4 linked regions of the Schizosaccharomyces pombe genome follow. The gene in region 1 interacts genetically with each later gene. Each region holds a gene or a part of one and is shown in the gene's direction. Other genes may lie near its edges. The genes, in order: sck2, gpa2, mph1 and tom70.

The links.
Region 2: mutations in sck2 (region 1) and gpa2 together harm fitness more than expected from each alone (negative genetic interaction), as found in Schizosaccharomyces pombe (2 studies listed by BioGRID).
Region 3: mutations in sck2 (region 1) and mph1 together harm fitness more than expected from each alone (negative genetic interaction), as found in Schizosaccharomyces pombe (2 studies listed by BioGRID).
Region 4: mutations in sck2 (region 1) and tom70 together harm fitness less than expected from each alone (positive genetic interaction), as found in Schizosaccharomyces pombe (2 studies listed by BioGRID).

Annotation. Positions count from the first base shown.
Region 1 is NC_003424.3:5,044,692-5,051,312, reverse strand, and holds sck2 (serine/threonine protein kinase S6K family Sck2), read left to right. Parts: upstream 1-2,300; 5' UTR 2,301-2,795; coding exon 2,796-4,736; 3' UTR 4,737-5,697; downstream 5,698-6,621. Other genes in the region: Golgi-specific 1-phosphatidylinositol 4-kinase, type III-beta Pik1, read left to right, coding at 1-1,904. UniProt on the Schizosaccharomyces pombe protein: Protein kinase that is part of growth control pathway which is at least partially redundant with the cAMP pathway.
Region 2 is NC_003424.3:2,514,905-2,521,146, reverse strand, and holds gpa2 (heterotrimeric G protein alpha-2 subunit Gpa2), read left to right. Parts: upstream 1-1,907; 5' UTR 1,908-2,831; coding exon 2,832-2,952; intron 2,953-3,115; exon of another isoform or gene 3,116-3,357; coding exon 3,358-4,301; 3' UTR 4,302-5,094; downstream 5,095-6,242. Other genes in the region: SPOM_SPAC23H3.12C (hydrogen/potassium transport protein), read left to right, coding at 5,274-5,954. UniProt on the Schizosaccharomyces pombe protein: Alpha subunit of the heterotrimeric guanine nucleotide-binding protein (G protein) involved in glucose-induced cAMP signaling.
Region 3 is NC_003423.3:371,551-377,504, forward strand, and holds mph1 (dual-specificity protein kinase Mph1), read left to right. Parts: upstream 1-2,243; 5' UTR 2,244-2,338; coding exon 2,339-4,375; 3' UTR 4,376-4,742; downstream 4,743-5,954. Other genes in the region: F-box protein Pof13, read left to right, coding at 809-1,999; srx1 (sulfiredoxin), read right to left, coding at 4,912-5,286. UniProt on the Schizosaccharomyces pombe protein: Involved in mitotic spindle assembly checkpoint signaling, a process that delays anaphase until chromosomes are bioriented on the spindle, and in the repair of incorrect mitotic kinetochore-spindle microtubule attachments.
Region 4 is NC_003424.3:2,431,351-2,436,755, forward strand, and holds tom70 (TOM complex subunit Tom70), read left to right. Parts: upstream 1-2,029; 5' UTR 2,030-2,041; coding exon 2,042-3,919; 3' UTR 3,920-4,273; downstream 4,274-5,405. Other genes in the region: drc1 (DNA replication preinitiation complex assembly protein), read left to right, coding at 1-466, 507-757; SPOM_SPAC6B12.13 (protein phosphatase inhibitor), read left to right, coding at 4,699-4,891, 5,117-5,238.

The DNA of each region.
Region 1 (6,621 bases):
ATTCCGAAGTATCCCTTAGACTAAAAGCTCCAGAACTAACCCGCACCCATTCATATCAATCATCAGCTACATTATCTATTGACGAACAGCGTCGTGTTCTACGCTCTAATTATTTTCAACAAGAAATTCAATTTCTTTTTGCTTTACAAGATATATCTATCCGTCTCATCATTGTACCTAGACAAGCTCGCCTTTCTTCATTACGCGCCGAACTTGCTCTTTTAAATAACAACCTTCCAGCCGATGTGAACATACCGCTTTTACGATCATATCATAAAGAAGTGAGTCATAAAATCGTTCGCATTGATCCTAAAGAGGCTACCATACTCAATTCTGCCGAACGAGTACCTTATCTTATTATGGTTGAGGTCCTATCTGGTGAACTCAGCTTCGAGCCACAATCGAAGAAAAATAAGGCTAAGGTGCAAAAGATTGTCTCTCATAAAAACCAAAGAAAAAGGTGGTTTGACCTCACAGATGTCGATCCTTATACGAACCTTCAAGACAGTACCGACAATGATATTTCAGAGTCGGAAAGTGAGGGAGGGGATTTAAGTATGTCTCCTCTGATAAAAGGGTTGGTACCGGACACTCTTTCTTTGAGTAAGTCATTCTCTTCGTTTGGTAATGTATCTTTGCAGGTACCGTCCTCTCATAGAGATACCGATGTCGTCCTGTTATCTGGGCGCCACTCTGATTCTGATGGAAATGGCGCCTTAAAAAGAAGTAAAATCTATGCTTCAGAAATAACAGCGAGAATGCGAGCTGCGGCAACTATGCTAAGTCAGCTTGATGCTGAAGGTAGCAGACGTCCCAAAGCTGAGACTGAACGAATAAAAAATAGCATTATTCTTGACATGCAAAGACTCGAAGAAGAGCGCCTTAATGAACCATCCATTTATCCTGTTTCAGTCGACATATCATGCGCAGAAGATCTGCGATTTGGCAAAGAAACTCAAAAGGCAGAACGGAAAGGTGATAGAGATGATCCCAGTGCCGCTACATTCCAAGAAGATTGGTATGCCAAGAAGGAAAGGATAAGAAAGTCTTCTCCTTATGGTCATTATCCCAATTGGGATTTGGTCAGTGTGATTGTTAAAACGGGTGCGGATCTCCGGCAAGAGACATTTGCCTGTCAACTTATATACGCGTTTCAGCGTGTTTGGCTAGAGTGTAAAGAAAAGGTTTGGGTTCGAAGGATGAAAATTTTAGTGACCGGCGACAATAGTGGCTTAATAGAAACGATTACAAATGCCATTAGTGTTCACTCTATTAAAAAGAATTTGACGAAACAGCTTCGGGAAGCTGAACTAGCCCAAGGAAAAATTGCTGGTAAAAATGTTGTTACATTGAAGGATTATTTTATAAAGCAGTTTGGTGATCCCAACAGCAGCCGGTATCGACAGGCACAGACAAATTTCCTTCAATCATTAGTGGCATATAGCATTATATCATACTTACTACAGTTAAAGGATAGACATAATGGTAACGTTCTTATTGATAGTGAAGGTCATATTATACATATTGATTTTGGCTTTTTACTTACGAATACACCGGGGAATGTTGGCTTTGAAAGCGCTCCATTTAAGCTTACGGCGGATTATTTAGAAATCCTTGACGACCGGTTTGATGAATATCGTTCCTTGATGAAAGCTGCGTTTAAATCTGTTCGAAAAAACGCTGATCAGATCATTTTGCTTGTTGAAGTTATGCAAAATAATTCCACAATGCCTTGCTTTCGTGCTGGTGAAAACACAAGTGCACAACTTTTGCAACGTTTTCAACTACAGCTTGGTGACAAAGAATGTGATGACTTTGTGGATTTGTTGATTCAAAAGGCAAATTGTAGTGTTTGGACGAGACTTTATGATCTGTTTCAAAATATTACGAACGGAATTTACTAGTAAGTGGCTATTCGTTTTCTCTTTTCATTTTTTTCGAATACAGCTACGGAGCTTCCACACTTGAACCATACTGCTGGTTGGCTTTTTTAACTTTCAATATTGTATTAAAATCACCACATTCACCATGGTTCGTAAATTTGGTAATTTTTTTGTTAGCTAGATTAGCTATATTAATGCATTAAAAATATTTTATGTGATCTATATGATTTATCATACCCACTAGAAACCCTTGCAATTATAATATACTATTAAAGCATACTGTCTAAATTAACTGCATTTCTAAGTTAGCAAACAATTTGGCGTAGTTAAATCCGGGTTAAAGAATCCTTTCGCACTTCCGTATATTGACATACCAAATTTTAAAGTAAGATTAGGTACTGCAACCCACTTCAATTTACCCTTTACCATCAAATTGAAAAATTAGGCGCAAACAGTAATTGTATATTAGAACTTGGAATTTTTTTCTTTTCATTTATAATTTTGTGTTATAATCCTTTGTTCCTTCTTCTACTAGGGGTTGTTTCTTTGCACAATATTGTAGTTGACATTGGTTAATGGGGTATCTTCATATTGATTACAGTATTCGTGATATAACAAAGAAATTTGGTAGGAAAATTTTAGTGTTGATTAATAGTTTTTCTTATCAGGATTATATCCAACTGAGGTGAATTATTACTTGAGACTTTACATCATTAAATTTTATGCAGGTATTAAGTCGTGATTATATCAGTCAAACAAGTACCTTTTGAATTCATTTTCATACCTCTTCTTGCTTGAAAGAAAGAAAATCCCTTTTTGCATCTACAAGCAATTAATCCAACAGTGACATTTTGTGTTCGTATTTTCTTTTACAATAATCGTACATAAATTGGTTTTTTGAGTGATTATAAAATGATGAATAAGTGGGCAAAAAATTGGTTCGGGCTGTCTAAAAAATCGGTTTCCACCAATTCTGCTAAAGGGTCACTTCCCCGAAGTCCTTTGGCAAGCATCCAAACCAATCAACCAGTTGAGGAAGGTGAAGGTGGTTCACTTCCTTCAGTTTCAAATTTAGGTCCTTCCTCGATAGACCATCCCATGGAAGAATTCGCCAGTGACCAGTCTACGGTTGGTAACAGAAATAGTAATGATATATTACCTGAAGTTGACCATGAACCTTCAGGCTATTTGAAACTTCAAATAGGTTCATTAGTTTTGGGAGGACCTCATACTGATGCAGCATTAGCCATGGAATGCTCAAGACTTAATCAGTTGTTTGTTGTTGTTCAATTTGGTACGACGGAGTTTGTTTCACCTCCATTGAAATGGGAATCACCTGGCCGTGATATAGGCACATCTAGTCGGGATTCTGCTAATGTGAGTAGGAGTTCATCTATGATGAGCTCTCATCCCATTCCTACTCCTGCAATTCAACGTACGTCTTCAATTCCAAATCCCTTAACTCCATCTTATGTTGTATTTGATGTTGCTAAACCGGTCCCCATCGATGTTAATATTTATGACCATGGTAATAATAATGAATTTGTTGGGAGAACTTACATTCACCCGTCTTATAATTATGGTCAATTTGAACAGTTTTGCAACAGCGTTGAAGTTTCTCCCGCATACAACCGTATGGTTGATCTTCGTCTTTCTCTCAATACTGTTTTCCAGCCTCTCAGTCAACACTCCTACGGCCCTGATGACTTCGTTCCGTTGAAATTAATTGGAAAAGGTACATTTGGTCAAGTCTATCTTGTTCGTAAAAAAGACACCGAGCGCGTATACGCAATGAAAGTACTTTCCAAAAAAGTAATAGTCCGTCGCAAAGAAGTTGCACACACTGTTGGGGAAAGAGACATTCTCGTCCAAACTTCTGCAGCTGATTCGCCCTTCATCGTTGCTTTACGTTTCTCTTTTCAGACCCCCAAAGATTTATATTTGGTGACAGATTATATGGCTGGAGGCGAATTATTTTGGCACCTTCAAAAATCGGTACGATTTCCAGAAGAAAGGGCAAAATTCTATATTGCCGAATTGTTGCTTGCTTTGCAAGCGTTGCATAAACGAGGAATTGTATATCGGGATTTGAAACCTGAAAACATTCTTTTGGACGTTCAAGGACATATTGCCTTATGTGATTTCGGTTTGTCAAAGGCCAATCTTTCAGTGGGGACTACTACACGTACGTTTTGCGGTACCACGGATTATCTAGCTCCTGAGGTTATTTTAGACGAAGCAGGGTATGATATGATGGTTGACTTCTGGTCTTTAGGGGTACTTTTGTACGAGATGACATGTGGCTGGAGCCCTTTCTACGCTGATAACACACAACAACTTTACAAGAATATCGTGTTTGGTAAAGTCCGTTTTCCTAGAGGGTTGCTATCTGTAGAAGCCAGAGATTTGATTAAGCTATTATTGAATCGTAATCCAAAGCATAGGCTTGGTGCACATGGGGATGTTGAAGAGGTAATGAAGCATCCATTTTTTGATGGAATTGATTGGAAGAAACTCGCTGCGAAAGAAATTAGTCCACCATTTAAACCAATAGTGGAAGGTGAAATAGATGTTTCTAATTTTGATGTCGAGTTTACAAATAAAGCAATCGATAGAGACTTTAGTAGCACAGATGAAATGTCGACCTCTGCACCTTTATCATCAACTGTCCAAAATGGGTTTAAGGGTTTTACCTATATTGACGCAAGTGCTATGGATGAAGCATTCGGATACCACAACTCAAATGATTCTGCTTCTAGTATTTCCAGTCAAGATGATTATTCTAAGGACAATTCCGATATGGACTTAAATCGTGCGAACGATGAGGTATTTATGGGACAAATAGATCCATAATACGTTTGGTCTCCACGAATGTATCACTGCATTGAGAATCTTATGCCCATATTTTTTCTAGGCTGGATCCCTGAACCCGAGAGTATCTTTTTGTACACGCTTTCAATCGTTGTACTATTTTCTTATTTACTAGTTGTCCAGCAAAATTTCAACATGTATTTTGAAGGACAGGTAAATAATGTTTTAATTTAATCAGCGCTTAATCATTGAAGCGTATCGTTTTAATTTTTTTTTATTTCCCTTCTAAGAATGATTTTTTAGGATTGTTATTAAGATGCCTGTTTATGTGGAAGCAGGTTCGGGTGAAGTTCATTTTTTTTCGGTGCATATTAAGGGAATACTTAATGATCAAAGGATCTATTATTTCTATATTTTAATCTACGTTCACCAGGCTTTTTTGGTGTAATGTTGGGCTTGTATGGCGTTGAATCAACTAATTTTGGAACAAATTGTGCTTAGTTTTTTTGGTTCCGAACTATGACTTAATTGTGTACAGTGGTAATTACACAATTCCAAAATTCGTTGAATTGGCTGACATTAGTAGTAAGGTATTTTGCTTTACTAAGTAATTGTCATCTTGCTTAAGGCTATTCTATCTCCAATTGTAATGTCTTCGATTTTGTTCCTCTCCTTATTTTTTTTTTATTTTTCTCTTTTGCTGGATAGACGTTTATTCAGTTAGGTTGAAGTTCAGTTTTACGAATGTATAATGGTGTATGTTAGAATCTAGTTAAAGACATATTCTTTTAAACGCAAAGGAATTTAAAAAAAAGAAAAGACAAAGTACAATAGCAGTATTATTGATGCCCTCCTTGAGGGTCGTTTTGTAATAGATCTTCAGATGAAGATGTATTTGGATACTGTCGTATACGATAATTTGTTTTAGATATAACGATAATGACATAAAAATTTTTTAACTATGGTTTTGGAAACCAGTTTATCGATTTTTATTTTACTTGTGATTCTCTTCATTCATTTGTCTTGTGGGTCTTTGCCACAAATATTCGATATAATGTTTATAAAAACTAAATATGTAAAAAAATAACCTGTACATTCATTTTATTAAAAAAAGTAATTATAATAAATATTCTTTAACTTATGGTACACATAATATTGTTATCATGTATGGTCTTGATGGAGAAAAGGTAAATAACTAAACTAAAAAATTTAAAACGAAGTAAAAAATATCGGTAAGTACGAAAAATAGATAAAATTTAATAAAAAAAGGAAAAAAAAAAAAACAATTACATTTTCTCAAAAATCACTTGAAAACTAAAGACTCTTCTTGTTTTGTAATACTAGACTTATTCAATTTGACTAAGTAAAACACACTTGTATAATAAATAGTATATTTTATTTGTAATGATAACAAGGTCTCGTGGCCCAATGGTTAAGGCGCTTGACTACGGATCAAGAGATTCCAGGTTCGACTCCTGGCGGGATCGTTTTTTCAAAAGCTCAAATATCGTGAATACTGTAAAATACCTTTTAAGATCGTGCGTCTATGTATCCTATTGCAATCCAGTAAACTGCATATGCATAGAGGGATTGTGTTTTTAAAAGCAATTAACCTCGGTAATATTATGTATTTATTTTTTTTGGCGTAGACACGCCTTTGATAAAGAAGCGATATGAGTTAACAAAAATTGAAGATAAAATTTATTATTAATAGGTTCCTAAGATTGCGTCCGAGACCATTCACTCGAAACTTCACCGAGATGGTATTTCATTAAATAACGCAACCTAACGATATATCATAAATTAGATAAGGCATATTTGGAATTCGCAAAACGCAGCTTAAGTAGAAGCTCGCATCTCAAATATGTGCGTTGTAGGGAGCGCGAATTTTTACCTGCTCTTAGCCAACTTGAACATACAAGGACGG
Region 2 (6,242 bases), 2.5 Mb from region 1:
TTGAAAAGAAATAAAAGCCACAGCGAAAGAACAGTAGCTGGAAAAACAGTTTCTTTCATCGTTTTCACAATAGATTAGAAAATCAGAAAGTCGGTTGTTCATGATCCACTTTTTTGCACACTGTAAATATAGATATTGGACATATTCTCAACCAACTGGCAAAAGAAAAAAATTAGGAAAAAACAAGATTACTCTATATTTTTTCCGTTGTCTTCTAATATTGACTTAGCTAATGATTGATTTATTCAATTATTTTCTTATAATAATTTTTTGAATTAAATTAACATAGTTTTATTTTAAACTGGGAAGCGCATCTTGCTCATAATTCAAATTATTGCCCTAAAACCAACATGAAACAGATCCGGCAAACTAGTTTCCACAATATATCGGGATATATCAAGATATGCAAGATATATAAGATACACATATATAAGAGATATAAGATACATATTCAATAATTGTCAAGGATACCTATAATCAAGCAAAAATTAAACTTACGCAAATAAGAATTTCATCTTTATAAAAAAAAAAAAACCATCAAAAAACAAAACAATATAAAAACCCTCCCACTACATGTGAATATCTTGGAAGACTTTTTTTTATAACTAGTACATGCTTTTATTAGTATGTAATGAATAAATGAACGAACAACAACGGATTGACTTCAGTACCACATAAACATTACGAAACCTAGCTAATTCTATCTCACCTGAAGATTATTTTATTTTAGCGGGGCAAATGCAGTCCTTCCCGAACCTCCAAGACTAAGTAACCAGCAAGTAACGGCATCAGGATATCTTACCATTCTTACCCATTAAATTTAAGGAACCGAATGAAATTAGGAACGATGAGCAGTTTAACAAAGTCCTCCTTATTTTTTTTGCGTTGAAATGTAGTTTGTAGTGTCAAGCTGCTTTGTGCTATTTATCGAGCAATGAGAAATAGGAGAGGAGTTATGGTAGCAGGGTATACTTAGTAATGTTTTCATGGACCAAGCGGGGGAGGGGCGAAAAGCATGTCTAGTTCGCTGTATTCAGTTTCAAGACCCCATTTCATGTTTAACATTTGTTCTAGATACGCAAAAATCCCTTTTTTCTAGATTGTTTGCAAGTCCCCATGTCTTCTTTTTTTTATACAGCTGAAAAATTTTCCGACTGTCAGGTAAAACTGGTCAGTTGCGAAAACATGCTTTGCTTCATCTTGGTACCCAATCGTCTATGGATTTTTTATATGTTTCTTTCTAGCTTTGTGATAGCTGCCCACGCTTTGCGATCAAGTTAGTTGCCTTATCCCTTGTGCACTTTACTTTCATATCTGAGTAAATAAGTCTCCGTAACTGGAATTGAACTTGGTAAAATTGGGGCTTGAAAATTTAAAATATTATGAAAGTGAACAAACTCAGATTGGGAAAACACTCATTAAACATTGCTTGGAAAGATTGCGCGTTTTTTGGAACACTTCCTTTGGTCATCTTTGCTATCCCGATTGCTTGCATCTTCAGCCATAAACAAGGGACGACTCATTGAGTTACTAGAGTAGTAATAGAGCAGTATAGTTTAGTAGTATAGAAATGCTGGACCAACCAGTTAATGACATATAAACATAAAACATAAAAAACTATTTTGATGAGCGGCGCTTCTCTATGCGATACTTACATAGAATGCAAAGCTCACACAGGTCTCAGCTTACTGCCTGCTCCCCTCGCCCAAGGTCATAATCGAAGAGTAAGACTTACACTCCAATCTTCTTTACTTGAATGATGCTTGTTTGGTGGTATGTGTTGGATCCTTTTCCAATGTTACATTTTCCGAACTGTCCTCTCTACCCCACTCGAAAAATTAAAATCGTAAATGGATGATGCATGACGTAGTGCCTCATAAATACAAATTATACCAGAGTTGCCGTCTGTCTTTTTCGAAATAGTATAGACGAAATCACCGCTCAGGTACCAATCTAACCATAGTTGTTAGCTACTTAAGCTGTTTGAAGCATCAAAACGCTTGCCCTTTTGCTGCTGCTTGTTGGATTTAGGGTAGTGTGAATTGAAAGTAAGGATTTAATTGTACACTCGGTTAGTTGGACAGTAGTAAGAATTGAGATATTTTGCCTCTAATTCTTCTTTCTTCCTTGTACAATTCTTAATTTTTTTCTCGTTCATCGAAAGACGACGAGAAATCAATTTTCACGAGTTTCTCATTTGTCGCTGCATCTCTTCAACTGATTTCAGCCTTTTCTTCTTGCCTTAATCAACCTTGGTATTCACTCGTACTCACTGTGTCAATTAGCTAGCCGGCTAGCTTCCGACCTGCGATCCTTCCTCATTCTCCTCCACCCCCTGCTTTTCGAGGCATCTGGTGAAACTCAAAAAAAAGTTGAAATTGCGATTTAAAGGTCGCCCATAAAGGGGGTTAATCAAACTTTGCGCGTATAGTTTAGTGACTGACTAATCAATATTTTGATTATTGATTCCTATTCTGTAATATCCCCTTTTGACACCCGCACCCTTGTTCCTACTTAATCATACTTGCTACCTCAACTTTTTTTTTAATACTTTTATTTATTTGCGTTTCACTTTTCTTTCTAACTTGCTCTCTTTCCATTTTATTATTTAATCTTTGCTTTAATTGGGAAAAGAACTGGATTGAAGGCTTTTCTTGGAAAGTCCTCGCCTCTCTGCTGCTACACCTTACCTACCTGCGTTTAACCTTCTTACTTTGTTTCATATTTATTTCTCCCATCTTATCCCAAAAACCCGCTAGCTGTCGGATTGAGAAGTTTGGTGTCCTACTACATCCCCGTATTTATATTCTGCAGTAGTGGATTAAAAAAAAATGACGATTTTTAATGGATTATCTGAAAGCGGTGAATCAAAAAAATTGAACAGCAAAATCGAAAAGCAGATTGAAAATGCCTCGAAGAAGGATAAAAAGATTTACAAAGTGTTGCTTTTAGGTACGTAAACTACTCAATGTTGTTGTTGTTGTTCAATAGTTATATATGCTTGGGCAGTCGAGCAAAAAAGCAGAAAAGATTGAGAAAAAAAATAAAGAAACGAAATGAGTGAAACTATTTACGAAACAGAGAAACTGTTTAAGAAATGACAGAAAATGGTTTGTCTAATTGCGTCTACGTTCTCTACTCTTGGTTACCCTTTCCCTTCAATACTCAGTCAGTGAAGGTGACTTTGATAACGTTCTTCTAGTTAACCACTTTTCGTCGTCGTTGCATGTTGTAATCAGTTGCTCTACACTCTTACCGTTTCTCTCCATTGCATAGCACAGATTTTTTGTTTGATTCCTATAGCAAATTTTCCTTCCTTTGTTTCTTACAATCGTCAGTCTAACCATTGTTTTCTAGGTGCCTCCGATAGTGGAAAAAGTACCATCAGTAAGCAAATCAAAATTCTCAACAAAAATGGGTTTAGTCAAGAAGAGATTATGACATTTATTCCGGTGATCCGACGAAACCTGTTGGAATCTGCTAAAACCCTTGTTAAAATTATCGTTCAAAAAGGTATCAACTTGGACCCTTTAGGAACCCACAATTGCGAGATAATCGAAAAATTTAATCCAACTCCTGGTGAGCTTATTAATGCTAATATTGGCCAAGCTATTACTAGTCTTTGGTCAGCCAATAGTGTTAGATCCTGTACATATGGAAATGATTCCGTACTCATTGACTCTGCCCCTTACTTTTTTTCGCGAGCCGATGAAATTTGCAGTCGGCATTATGTCCCTACAATAGATGACATTCTCCGGTCTAGAAATAGTACTCTGGGTATTTCGGAAATATCGTTCACATTGGATCATTTGCAAATTCGAATGTTCGACGTTGGTGGTCAAAGAACCGAACGAAGGAAATGGATTTATTGTTTTGAAAATGTGAATTCAATCATATTTTGTGTTTCCTTAAATGATTATGATAAAAAGCTTTATGAAAGAGCCGCCCCAGAACGCAATCGTTTGGTTGAAAGTATTTCTTTATTCGACTCTATTATAAACAGTCAGTGGTTTATGCATTCTTCTATCATTCTGTTTTTGAACAAATTTGATTTGTTTCGGAAGAAACTGGAACATGTTCCGTTCCAGGATTACTTCCCCCAATATGAAGGTAAAAATTCTGTTAAAAGTATTACCCGGTATATTCTTTGGTTATTTGTGAACCCTTCTATAAATCGGGCTAAGCATAATATATATCCTCACATTACCACCGCTGTAGACACATCTAACATAAAGGTTGTCTTTTCTGCCGTTAAGGAAACAATTCTACAACACAGTCTGAAAGAAGCGGGAATGTTTTAATTTTAATTTGAAGATAAAATTTACCCTACCATTATTCATATGTTAACAGAAGACCTCTTACTGTCTGCATATGTCTAGAGAGTTCTGAAGCCTCCTTGTAAGAATCGCTTCTTTTACATTCGTTTATTTTTTTTTTTTAATATTGTCCGGAGTTTATTACACATGTTCTTTAAAAATATTTTTCCAATATATACATTGGCTGCTGGAATCTGAAATCACCGATTTGTCTGTAAGGAAAAGGATCGATCTCCTTTTCAGTTGTCTCAGAACGTTCACAGATTGCTATTAAATAATCTCTTTAAGATGACCAAGTTATACAGTTCTAGTTGATATAAATATTTTGTCATTTTTGCGAATATCAATTTGCATTTAATTTTTTACTTTAAACGATGCTGCTGGCGAATGCTTTTAAAGTTATTGAATACTTTCTGTTGAACATAGTCTTAAGATTGAGAAAGTAGATCTCCAGTTTTGATTCGAACATCTATCTCTGCTTTCAGAACTATTGCTATCACTTAATGCTGCTATTTATGAGGGTCGTAGAAAATCCGTTTGAGTACTAAGAGACTTTGAGTGGATACATGATTTAATCGCTTTTGTTTTAGTATTTAGTTTTTAATTGTTAGACTACTTGTATAGACTATTTCACTGAATCATCAAAATTGTTGTCTCTCTTTGTTGGCACCAGAGACTGATACTTTTTACCGACTTTCAGTATCTTTTCTTTAATATATTAATTTACTAATCAAAAAAGCTATTGAACACGTGTATTTCTGCCATGTATAATAAAAAGCCGCACTGTTCTGTATACGTATCAATTTGATTAAATTAGATAGTAATACTACTACATAGATATTCGTTACCCACTTTTAGCTTCTACTTTAGTATATCCACCCATCTTTGTGTTACTGCAGGTTTATTTATTTCAATATTTATTTTGTAAAAACAATTAAGTACATTCGTTAACTAATTATGAGAATTATTGCACTTCCTTTGCCAAATCAAAGGGTATTCTTACATTGTTATCCTTCTGAATACCTTGCCAAAAAAGTTACTATTCACGACAAAATTATAAACAGAATTTACAAGTATTGGGACTCCTGGAGTGCTTCAAAAAGCTATACCAAACAAAAGGTTGTGTCTTTGGGAAACCGAATTTTGCATGCAACTCCTTATGAAGAAAATTTTTTAAGGGCGATTGCTCCTGTTAAGAAGCTAAATGATACAGAATTACACCAAACTTTGTATATTGAACATCCTCCAAATTTGGAATCAAGTACTATTTTAGCTGAGTTGAATCGGTCCAAACAATTACAAAAGACCCATACAAATTACCTTATTGGTAATATTATTGGATTACCATTGACTATACCTTTCATTCTCATACCTCTAATACCAAATATTCCGGGTTTTTATCTTTGTTATAGAGCATACTGCAATTTTCGTGCTATTCAAGGGTCTATTCAATTAGCTCGGGTAATGAGCATAGAAAACATTCAAATGCAGGAAAGTGAAAAACTAGAAAAAGCATTGAAGTTGTTTACAAATGGAGATGCTACACCATTAAACGCTCTCATAGGCCACCCGGATTTCGTGGACCGCTACAAACGTGCCGTTGCTCAGGAGCAACGGAAATCAAAAATAATCAAATAAGAATATTTTTTTCCTTCTATTTTATGAAGTCCTTTGCATATAAAATCAATGACCTAAGTAGTGTGCAATCGTCGTTCCGGTCATAGTTATGCCATAACATTATTGCGCAGCTATGAGTAAAAAGAAAGTCCCAAACTGATATGAGGAGTGGAATTTTATATCAAGAAAACATCTTCCTTTTTTATTTTAAATATTAAAACTCCCATTCTTTTGTTCTTTCTCTTATTAGTGGTTGGCAATCGTTCATTCTTTTCTGGGGTTCTTTCTTTCTTTTAATCTTCTTTCCAT
Region 3 (5,954 bases), on another chromosome or scaffold:
TGCCAATAAACTAATAGCACTAAGGTCATCAAGCAATATAGAAGAACTGTCAAAACATTTTGAGAAATGAATCTCTTTCGAACGAACATATTGCACGAATCAGCAGTGTCAGTCGTCTGAATATTTAGCGATACAACAACTTTGTCTGTTCAATCTCATGTGCCTGTATAGTCCCTTAAGCTTTTTTTTGTAGTAAAAAAAACTAAACTATTCTTTCTGTTTAATTCAGAAGCTCTCCAATGTCAAGAAACCCAATGCGCCTTTAAGTGTGAATAGCTACAGCAATCAGCAAGTCAAAGCAAAACGCATTCTTGTCTTTAAAAGAATTTATTTTAATCAATATAACAGTTGAGTTTGGGAATAATTCTAGAGAATGAAGATGTTGTTAGCAATCCTCTTTTCCTAAAACACCCTAACCTACTCCATTTCGTTGAAAAAATAAACCACTTCCCCAATTCTATGATTTTGGGATTTTTTTTGGGACTATATTAGAGAATTTCTTGTTTTATATATATCAACAGGAGCTCATTAACGTCAACACTTGAAAACAAAAAGTATTTGTCAATTATAATTATCACGAGGTTCATTATTGATTTTTCCCGAATAAGATTATCTCCAACCAAGAAAACGGAATCTTTGAATCTAAAAAAACACATTCTTTACGTTTCTTAACATTCCTCGGCATAAATTGTTCTCTTTTGAAAAAATCGTTAGCAAAAGAGTTGCTGAATCGCAAACAAGCTACGAAAATTGCATTATCTTAAAAGAAATTGTGTAAATAACAATTTATAAAGTATTTCGGGACTTTATGAGGCCGACACATTGGTCGAGTAATCAGTGCGAAGTGGATTTTACAGCTGAAGCTCTCACAACCCTTTCTTTGTCAAACCGGAATCATGAGGAAGATCCAATTCAACCTGTGTTAAAAAATTCCAATTTATTTCTCTTGAACAGAGACATATGGTCCTTGATCATTAATTATCTTGATGCATTCGATATATTACGCCTGATGCATTCAAGTAGGCAGTTTTACTATTGGCTTCGTAAATCAGCTGTCGATGAATGCTGTTTTAATAACAATTTTCTTAATTTACAACCTTATCAACGTACAGTTCCTGTTGCCAGTGATTTAGAATGGGCTACTGAAGTTGATCTCTACGGAAACCCACCAATTTTAAAACTCCAACTTCGCGATTCATTTGTCTGGTCAATGCTTGCCAAATTCCAGGGACTTCAGACCATTGCTTTAGACGGAACAGGTGTTACCATTTCTAGTGTAACGAATATCTTGCTGAACATTCCTACCGTTAAAACCTTGAGTATAAGATGGTGTGTTGGTGTTTGCTCTCTATCTCTCATTGAGTTTCTACAAAATTCTAAAAGCAGGACATTTTCATTGGAAAATCTATACGTCCTTGGTGTTAAAGGATTAGAATTACTAAAACCTGTTTTGCTTGATGGCTCTGAGGATGACACATTAACAAGCAATTGGCATAGTCGAGTAATTTTATTTCAAAATGCTTTAGACGCTTTACCAACTACTCATGGTAACCCAGTCGAATGCGATATTTCACGTTGCCCTTTGAATGCATGCAAAATTGCAGGTCAGGAAACTGAGCTTGCCGATCTTTTTTCTTTGCAAAAAGTCCCTGCTTGTATCTATTGCTTAAGGGAATGGAAGAAGCCGATTTGTCGTTATTGCATAGATTTAAGAAGTTGTTTGGTTTGCGATTCATTTGTCTGTCCTTCCTGCATATCGTTGGATTTTGATTTGCAAATACAAGCATTTGCTCGTCAACACCGTGTAATATCTACTTTAGGTGTTGTTTATCCTGAAAGAGAAGACTCTTGTTTCCATAAGATCAAGGCCGCCCAATGGCATCAGATCAGTCCTAGAAGTCTTTTGTTCCAATTCCAAGAGCAGAACCATATTCACCACAAAAAGATTCGCAGGAAGCTGTTAGCGGCTGGATGGAAATGGCCTCAATCACAGATATAGTAAGGGCAAGGCGACCTAGGTGAAAAAACTTTTTACTTTCACAACTCTTCTTTTTCTTTCATGACTAGTCTAATAATGATCTTATGCCATTCTTACTCAGAATTTTCGTTTTCATAACCATGCGAAACTCGTAAAATAATGATATACACTGAAGTAGCTAGCATTGCGTTAGAGGGTGATCTTTGTAGTAACATAACATTTTGAAATGTGCACACTAATGGTTGCTCTGCTGTTCGTCTTTTCTAGCTATTCTTATAACGAAGTAAAAATTTATTGATTAACGCTTAACAAACAGTTGGAAATTCGGTTTGGAATGCTCGTTTTTTAGTAACTGTGTTTATGTCTAAGCGCAATCCTCCTGTGACTAATATCGCGGACTTGGTGTCAGATTCTTCCTTAGATGAAGACTCGCTTTCTTTTCTCGAAGAGCTTCAGGATCCAGAATTATACTTCAAAAATGACACTTTCTCTTCCAAGAGTAGCCATTCTGATGGCACCGTTACTGGGGATACGTTGCGTAGGCAGTCAAGCGGTGCAACTGCTTTAGAGAGATTGGTCTCACATCCTCGTACTAAAAATTTTGATTTGCAAGGAAATGGAGGACAAAATTCTGCTTTGAAGGAAGTGAATACTCCAGCATATCAGTCAATGCACCATTTCGAGCATTTAATAACACCCTTGCCCTCTACTAATGCGTCTCACAGTGAAGTTTCACTCAGTGCAGGAGTGAATGATCTCAATTCTAATTCGGAGCATGATTTGTTACCTAAAAGTGTAAACAAAACCCCCGGTTCTTTATCAATTTCAAGACGACGAAGAATCGGCAGAATTGGATTAGGCCCTCCAAAGCGTGCTGAGTACACGTTGACGGATCCCTCGAAGACTTCCGATACCAAAAACTCTACAGAAGCAGATGAGGATATTGAAATGAAATCTCGAGAAGTATCACCAGCTTCCAACTCTGTTGCTGCAACAACTTTAAAACCTCTGCAGCTGCATAACACTCCTTTGCAAACATCCCAGGAGCATCCCAAACCTTCTTTTCATCCTTCTCAGTTTGAGAGCTCTTTTTCTCCTAGGGTGCAGTTTGATCACGATGTTGAAAGAAGAGCTAGTGAACTTCATTCTCGTCCAGTCACCGTTTTCCAAGAGCCTCAGCGTTCTGCTTCTCAACCATATGAATCTCATGCTCTTTCTCCAAAGGTGGCTCCGTTATTTGATAACAGTCAAGCTACTCCCATACCCAAGCGTCAGCAGGACGTTGTTACTGTTGCCAATCTACAATTTATCAAATTAGGAGTTGTTGGAAAGGGTGGAAGTAGTATGGTATATCGCATATTTTCCCCCGATAACAGTCGTTTATACGCTTTGAAAGAGGTGAACTTTATTAATGCAGACCAAACTACTATACAAGGATACAAGAACGAAATTGCATTATTAAGAAAGCTTTCAGGCAATGATCGCATAATTAAATTATATGCTGCCGAAGTTAATGATACTTTAGGGCAACTCAATATGGTGATGGAATGCGGAGAAACGGATTTAGCAAACCTTTTAATGAAAAACATGAAGAAACCCATTAATCTTAATTTCATCAGAATGTATTGGGAGCAAATGCTAGAGGCGGTCCAGGTAGTTCATGATCAAAATATAGTGCATTCGGATTTGAAGCCGGCCAATTTCCTGCTTGTAGAAGGGAATTTGAAGCTGATTGATTTTGGCATTGCCAAAGCAATTGGTAATGACACCACTAATATCCATCGTGATTCCCACATCGGTACTATTAATTATATGGCACCTGAAGCTTTGACAGACATGAATGCTCACACAAACTCTGGCGTGAAACTCGTAAAGTTGGGCAGGCCCAGCGACGTGTGGAGTTTGGGATGTATATTATATCAGATGGTGTATGGGAGGGCCCCGTTTGCTCATCTAAAAATGATCCAAGCTATAGCAGCTATCCCTAATGAACAATATCACATTCATTTCCCCGAAGTTGCCTTACCTGCTAATGCTGTCCAGGAGAAAGAGGGATCGTTGCCAGGTGTAACTGTCGGGCCTGATCTAATGGATGTTATGAAAAGATGCCTGGAAAGGGATCAACGGAAGAGACTTACAATACCGGAATTGCTGGTTCATCCCTTTTTAAACCCTTTGCCATCCTATTTGACACCTTTGGCCAAAAAGCCGTTACCTGTTTCTGGGCACACCAATAATGCTCATCCACTTAGACTCAGCACAGAAATCTCAGCTTCTCAATTATCAATGATTATAGAAAGGTCGGTGGAGTTGAGTAAGCACAAGCGATTAAATAAGGAACTTATTGATAGCATGGCTTATGATTGCGTTAGCAATTTACGAAAAATGCCAGAATAGAGGCACTAAATTTTCCGATTATTCTTAAAAAGGTTTTATCTTTTACAAAGTTTCCCAAACATCATACGAGTTTCTTAATGTTAACGACTTTTTTAGGGAGCTTAAAGGCTTTTTTTTTTTAATCTTTAATTTTTCGCTCTTTTAAAAGAAGGTAATTATGACCTTGATTAATGAACCACATATTATATGGCCCCTGATATCTATACTTTGATACTATGTAAATATAAAGAACGCTATACTCCCAAACGCTATAAGTTGTTTGTTTACGATATAATACCTTTTTGTGTTTGTTTTTTTTAGGTAAAGCAACCAAATGAATGATGCTTTTTTATAAGAAACTTTTTTAATATAATTGGGTTATATTAGACATTAAAAAAAAACCCCATAACTAATGTAAAACAAAAACCTTTAAAAATAATGTACCGCCGGTAGAGATGATTATTAACGCCATAAATGTTGGTGCAGGAAGGGAATAAAACAGGTTCAATGGAATATCGATAATCCTAAAAAAACTTGTGAAAAAATCTAAGTTAAATCTAATCACTATCCAAAAATTTATTGGCAGAAGCACCCAGATACAGGCGTAGAGTGTTAGGGGAGCAATTTACCAATTTGCAGCGAACCTTTTTGCGCCCTGCTTCATCGTGAGCACGTAGTCGATGACAGCCCCCAAAGGCAAAATAATAAGGCTTCCCACTCTTTTTAAACGTTAAAACATCAACAGGAGGAAGCTCACCAGCTTCCAAATCTTCTGAAGTCAAACCGCATGAAGCTGGAGGAGTTTTCCCTGTCATGGTTTCCATCATACTATTGACTTTGTTCATATCTAAAACAGGAGGTATAGGACGAATTAACTCAGACATATCAAGCTCAACAATGTTGTTATTTGAGCCAGTGTGAATCGAAGTCATGATGGTTAAAAATGAATGAAAGAAAGAATATAAAAAAGATAAAGTGAACAGAAATTTTTATAAATAGAACAGAAAATTATAAAAAAAGGCAAGTTAATAAGAATGGAAAAGTGGATATTGATATCGAGTATATTTACTCCTTGATCTGATATCGTTTCCTGTTGTACTAATGATCTGCCCCACAACCTATCTTATCCCGGTATGTATATAATAATTTACAAATATGACATCATTATCAAAGATGAATCGATACTTAAAATCTTATGTAAAAATTTGTCAGCATGTTAGCGAAACACGTTAAACCGACTAGGACAAAGCAACGTGGTTACGTTACGAGGTCTGGGTTTGTGTTCTTAGTAAGGTAGTTGGAGTAGCTTATTCATTAAATGTAGATGGCAATAAAACACTATTGCAAAGATGTCAAAGTGTAGAATGATGCTACCTAAATAGAATTTCAAGCACAAATACTTAGGTATAAATAACTTGGAGTCGACGGAGAACTGTAAATGCACGAGTACATTCAAAAATGTGTAAACAAAAGGTTCACTTTCTGAAAACGCTTTCTAAAATGTGACAGAGATAACCGACACAAGATCATTAAAACAATATGAGTATTGTTTTCGAATGGTGAAAGAAGCATTAGCTAGTTGAAGAGTGCAAATTTTGGT
Region 4 (5,405 bases), 2.6 Mb from region 1:
CCGAAAACTGTGGATAAAAGTCTTTTAGGTCCTACTCCACAGTTGTCACGTCGAGTACTTAACCTTCTTGAAGACATGTCTCCCATTGCAGATTCTCATGTGGATCAAATTTCGGATATAAAACATAACACTAGTGAAATTTCATCAACTATGATACCGACTACTCCATCAAAAAATCCCGAACCTGTGGCTCAACATACTCCCACCGTTCTTGAAACCCCCTCTTCATATCGCCTTCAAGTTTATACATCTCCTAACTTACTTCGAGTTAATGCGCCATGCCGAAAAAGTCTCAGTGAAATGCTTCGTGAGTTAAAAGATATTGAAGATGATTACGGATCAAATGAAGAGAAGATATTGCAGGAGTTTGAAAGCTTTAGTAGCTCATCTTCAGAAAGCCTTGTAGATAGAGACATATCACAACCTATGAAGAAAAAAATTAAACGACAAAATCGTCTTGTTAAATGTAAGGTTTTCTCCTGTTTGTACCTGAACTAACGTTTTAGTGCCCCCTTCAATGAATCTTTCCAAAAGTCATTTAGAAGGTCTTCCTGAAATAGACGAAGATGCGGAAAATGGCATTGACGACAATGAAGATACAACTGCTAGCAAAGATTCGTCACCATTTTTAGATCTGCAGAGTGAACGACAAAATAAAAAGATTATGAGAAACGGGCTTGTTATTGGAAAACAAGTAAGCCAGAATTATTCCTCTTACAAATTAAAAAAACGTAAATTTCGGCGTCACAGAAGCTAACATATAATTTGTCAATCGGAACTTTGCTGTTGTATTTAAAAAAACACATACTTTCTGATCTTCCTTAATAGGATATACACTTTTTCAATGAATGTTAAAGAGGTATATATATTTAATAAATCATGCATTCAATAAAACCTGGAAATAGATTTTGTGGGTTTTTGAGATTTAAATGAAATAATACATCATGAGTTTGTGGTATCCTGTTAAAAAAATTTTGGAAATATAAAAGTTTGAATGAATCATATATTTCTTGTTCTTAATCTTCGGGTAAAATCAAATTAGTTACTATCGAACGATAAACGTTTTATATTTTTACGTAGGCATTCGTCCAACATTAAATCTAAGACTGGAACGTTTTGATATACGAATATCATGAGGACGTAAGGAAAGAAGAAGTACAAAAAAAATCGAACCTTCAATATTGAAGCTGGCGAGAAAGACAAATAAAAAAACAGCTTCAAATAAGTTTGGATCTATTGAAATGAGGAATACATGAAAGCTGAATATCATCATTACTTTACATGGATTTGCATAGCTTATTCATCCTTAGGGGACAGCGATGCCAAATTTCCTCTTAACTAAATTTTTAGACAACCTAAACACCATACGTTGATGCTAAACTTCAAAACATGAATAGTCATTTCCAAATGTCATTTACAACTTAAGAAACCATGCTTTAAATAATAGATAGCTTATAAGATACAGGCAACAACTGTAATAGATTTTGGTCGCAACTCTTCAATTGTATTCAAAACATAGTTCAACCTACAATCAAGTTAACAAATCTTTTTAAAGACAAATAAAAGGGCTCTAGATAATCAGAATCCAAAAGAAGTGCATTGTGTAATTAACAAATACAGTCAATACGTTTCATTGTTTAAGGTAAACTTCTTTACTACGCTCTCTATATATTGTATTTTATACGGGGATAACATCAGCTCTTGTAGCTCAGTGGTAGAGCGCTTGCCTAGTAAGCAAGAGGCCCAGTGTTCAAGTCACTGCTGGAGCAGTTTTTTTTAAATTCCTACTTGATGCGGAATTGAGTAGAATTAATAAAACTAGCACCTGTGCAAATTATCACCATTTCATAATAATAGCTCCTATTAAACTGCTGTTCACCGTTTCTTTTTTTGTTTTCTATCACTTCGTAATCAAGTTTTAGTTCCTTAACCTTTGTCAATGAATGTGCTTTGCAGTTCGTTAGCAATGCAATAAGGTAGCATTCACTTTGCTGAAGTATAGTGGTCATGAATCGGTACCAACCTAGCCAAAACCAATACCATGTCTGGTATATCCAATGCAGAAAATGGTAAGGCAATTGTGTCTTCTGGAGTTTTAAATTCCGTTTCAGCATTTGTAAGGCGCCATAGGACATTTGTTTACACTATTGGTGCTGTTGCCGTTTTTGCTACAGTTGGGGGTGTTTATCATGTACAACAGAAAAAAGCTAGTCATAAACGTTCTAAAAAACTTAAGGCTCATCAAGATAAGGCTGAATCCAAAGTTAATGAAGGAAAAAATGAAGCTGCAAAGGTCGTAAAAGAAGAGGATCTTAAAAGCTCAGAAACTGGAAAGGATGTTGAAACAGCAGCCGCTGCTGCTGCTGCTGCAAAAAAGAAGAAGAAGAATAAAAAAAAGGTTAAAGCCAAGAAGGTCGGCGATTCTTCTGTCGATAAAATTGCTACTGAGGAATCGGTAAAATCTATGACGAAGGAGGAAAGGGCAAAATTGGCTGCCGAGTTAAAGACTCTTGGTAATAAGGCTTATGGACAAAAGGAATATGCTAATGCTATTGACTATTATACTCAGGCTATCACCTGCTCTCATGACCCTATTTTCTTCTCTAATCGTGCAGCCTGTTATGCAGCCATCGGTGATTTTGAGCAAGTAATTAAGGATACAAGTGAAGCTCTTTCACTTGATTCAAGCTATGTGAAAGCGTTAAATCGTCGTTCTGCTGCTTATGAGCAACTTGGTAAATTGGATGAAGCCCTTATGGATAGTACCGTTTCCTGCATTTTCGATGGCTTCGCTAATGAGAGTATGACTGCTACCGTTGAACGATTGTTAAAAAAGGTTGCTGAAAAGAAGTCGTCTGCTCTTTTAAAGGAACGTCCTCCTAAATTGCCAGCTGCCAGCTTTATCCAGACTTATCTCGATTCATTCCATGCTCAACCAAAACCTTTGTTTGATAATAAATTTGACGGTGATGCTGCTTTAGCAGAGGCTTATGAATATTTAGAAAAGGGTGAATATCAACTTTCGTACGATAAAGCAAAGGAATCCTGTCTGGGATCTTTCTCATCTCCTTCGGTTAATGCTCGCACTCATAATCTAGTTGGTACTTTTAAATTTGTATCTGGTGACTCTAAAGGTTCGATGGAAAATTTTAATGCAGCTATTAAATTAGATCGCAAGTTCATTCAACCATATATTCGTCTCTCAGCCGCTTATTTAGATGAAAATGATAATGAAAAAATGTGGAAGGTACTGAATGATGCAGAATCTGTTGATAAAACCGATTCGGATCTTTATTATCATCGTGCACAAGTTAGGTTTGTTTCTGGTGAGTTTGCAGAAGCCATTTCTGATTATCAAAAGTCTATTGCATTGGATGACTCTTTTATTTATAGCCATATCCAACTTGGAGTAGCTCAATATAAGACTCATGCAATTGCGGAATCAATGAAGACATTTGAAGATTGTAAAAAGAGGTTCCCTAATTCAAGCGAAGTTTATAATTACTTTGGTGAAATACTCTTAGATCAACAAAAGTTCGATGATGCTGTCAAGAACTTTGATCATGCAATTGAGCTTGAGAAGAGAGAACATCTAACAATTATGAGTGCAATGCCTTTGATTAATAAGGCTCTTGCTGTATTCCAATGGAAGAAAGATATATCTCAAGCTGAAAATCTTTGTCGACAGGCTCTATCGGCTGATCCCGAATGTGATATTGCAATTGCCAGTATGGCTCAATTCCTATTGCAACAAGGTAAAGCTCGTGAAGCCCTTGAATATTTCGAGAAATCTGCACAACTGGCTCGTACTGAAAGTGAAATGGTGAATGCGTTTTCATATGCTGAGGCTACTCGTACGCAAATTGCCTTGACTGAAAAGTACCCACAGTTGGTTGGTCGTTTAAGCAATCCTATGTAAACGAGATTGTATATGAGAATTACTGTTAGTCAAAATAAGCAGTTGGCGAAAACATTTTGAATGCTTTAAAAAGGTTCCAATTTTAATGTGGCTCGGAAATTTTTTGTTTGGATGACAGCAAGTGCTGAAAATCCTTAAACCAAACGAAGTTTTGTATACGGAACATGTTTGCTAATGTATTCTGGTTGACGGATTTTTGATTTTAACTTGATTCTTAGGGTTAGCAATAATGATATTTTGTTCGCTACTCCCTAAAATGTGAACTTATTATTTCTTTGTACTTCATGTTTAGTAGGTAGTGTATTTATTAACGACAGCAATAGCAATGAAATATTATACCCATTGAGATTCAACCATTACAGAATGTTATCATAATTTAGGACTCTAATTTAATATAAAATGGTAGGTGTCTATTAATTCTCTTTACCAAATAAGTTGAAATAGGCAGCTGAAGGTTTTTAGGAAAACAATATTTGGTTTCGTCATCAAGGGAGATGTAACCTAAGGGAGATATAACGCAGTAACGATTTCTCACAATCTTATATAGTGAAGAAAAAGGAATAGAAGAATATCCTATTAGAGAATAGCAAGCATCTTGAAGTGCACACCACTCTTCGCCATCGTCTTTCAAACAACAGAGGAATTTTATAATAATTACACTAAAATTGTTTTTCTTGAAGCAATTGCTTGAGAGGAAGAGTTGGTTAACGAAACTGAAGGTTCACTTATAAAACAGTGAACTTCGTGTTTTATCACTCAACGTAATCTTGACAATTCCCATGGAACTCACAAGACCGTTAGGTGATATCTCCTCATCAGCTACAGTTACCATTGAAAGTACGGAGGAATCCGCGTCAATAAGCCATGAAGAATCTGAGAATGTGCTCCATTTACAACCGGAACCAGTCAGAAGAGTTAGATGGACGGTAAGCACTGTAGATAATGAGCATATGAATAAAAAGAAATCGAAAGGTAAGTGAAGTTCTGGTGATTTTACGAAGAAGAGAATAGGCCTTGTTCCATCCTTTGGCAACAAGCACAACTTTCAGACTTATATTGATTTTAAAAATTGGACAGTATGAGTCTATTTATACATATCTACATTCTTTATCTTTGATTTATCAAAGCACTAGAGGCTTGATACACGAACATAGAAAATTAAAGGATTTAACATGATGTGATGCTAAATATTACTAGTGTGCTGTATCTTTCACAAACAGAGAAAGTTTGATGAAAGTTCATCCGATTCAGATAGTGATTCGGACTCGGATTCCTCTTGTTCCTCATGTTGCAGTCGCAATGCATATGAACGCGCTTAGGTTGTTCGTTGAGTCCCCTATATTGAAAATGAGATATAAGTCATATGTCTTAAGTATTTTTCTTAATATGCCAAAAACCCAATTCCAACATTACTTTTGAAACTTAAAATACGTTTTGAAAAGGAATCTCGATGGCTTTAGCAGTCATACCTTTGTAAAGGTTTTGA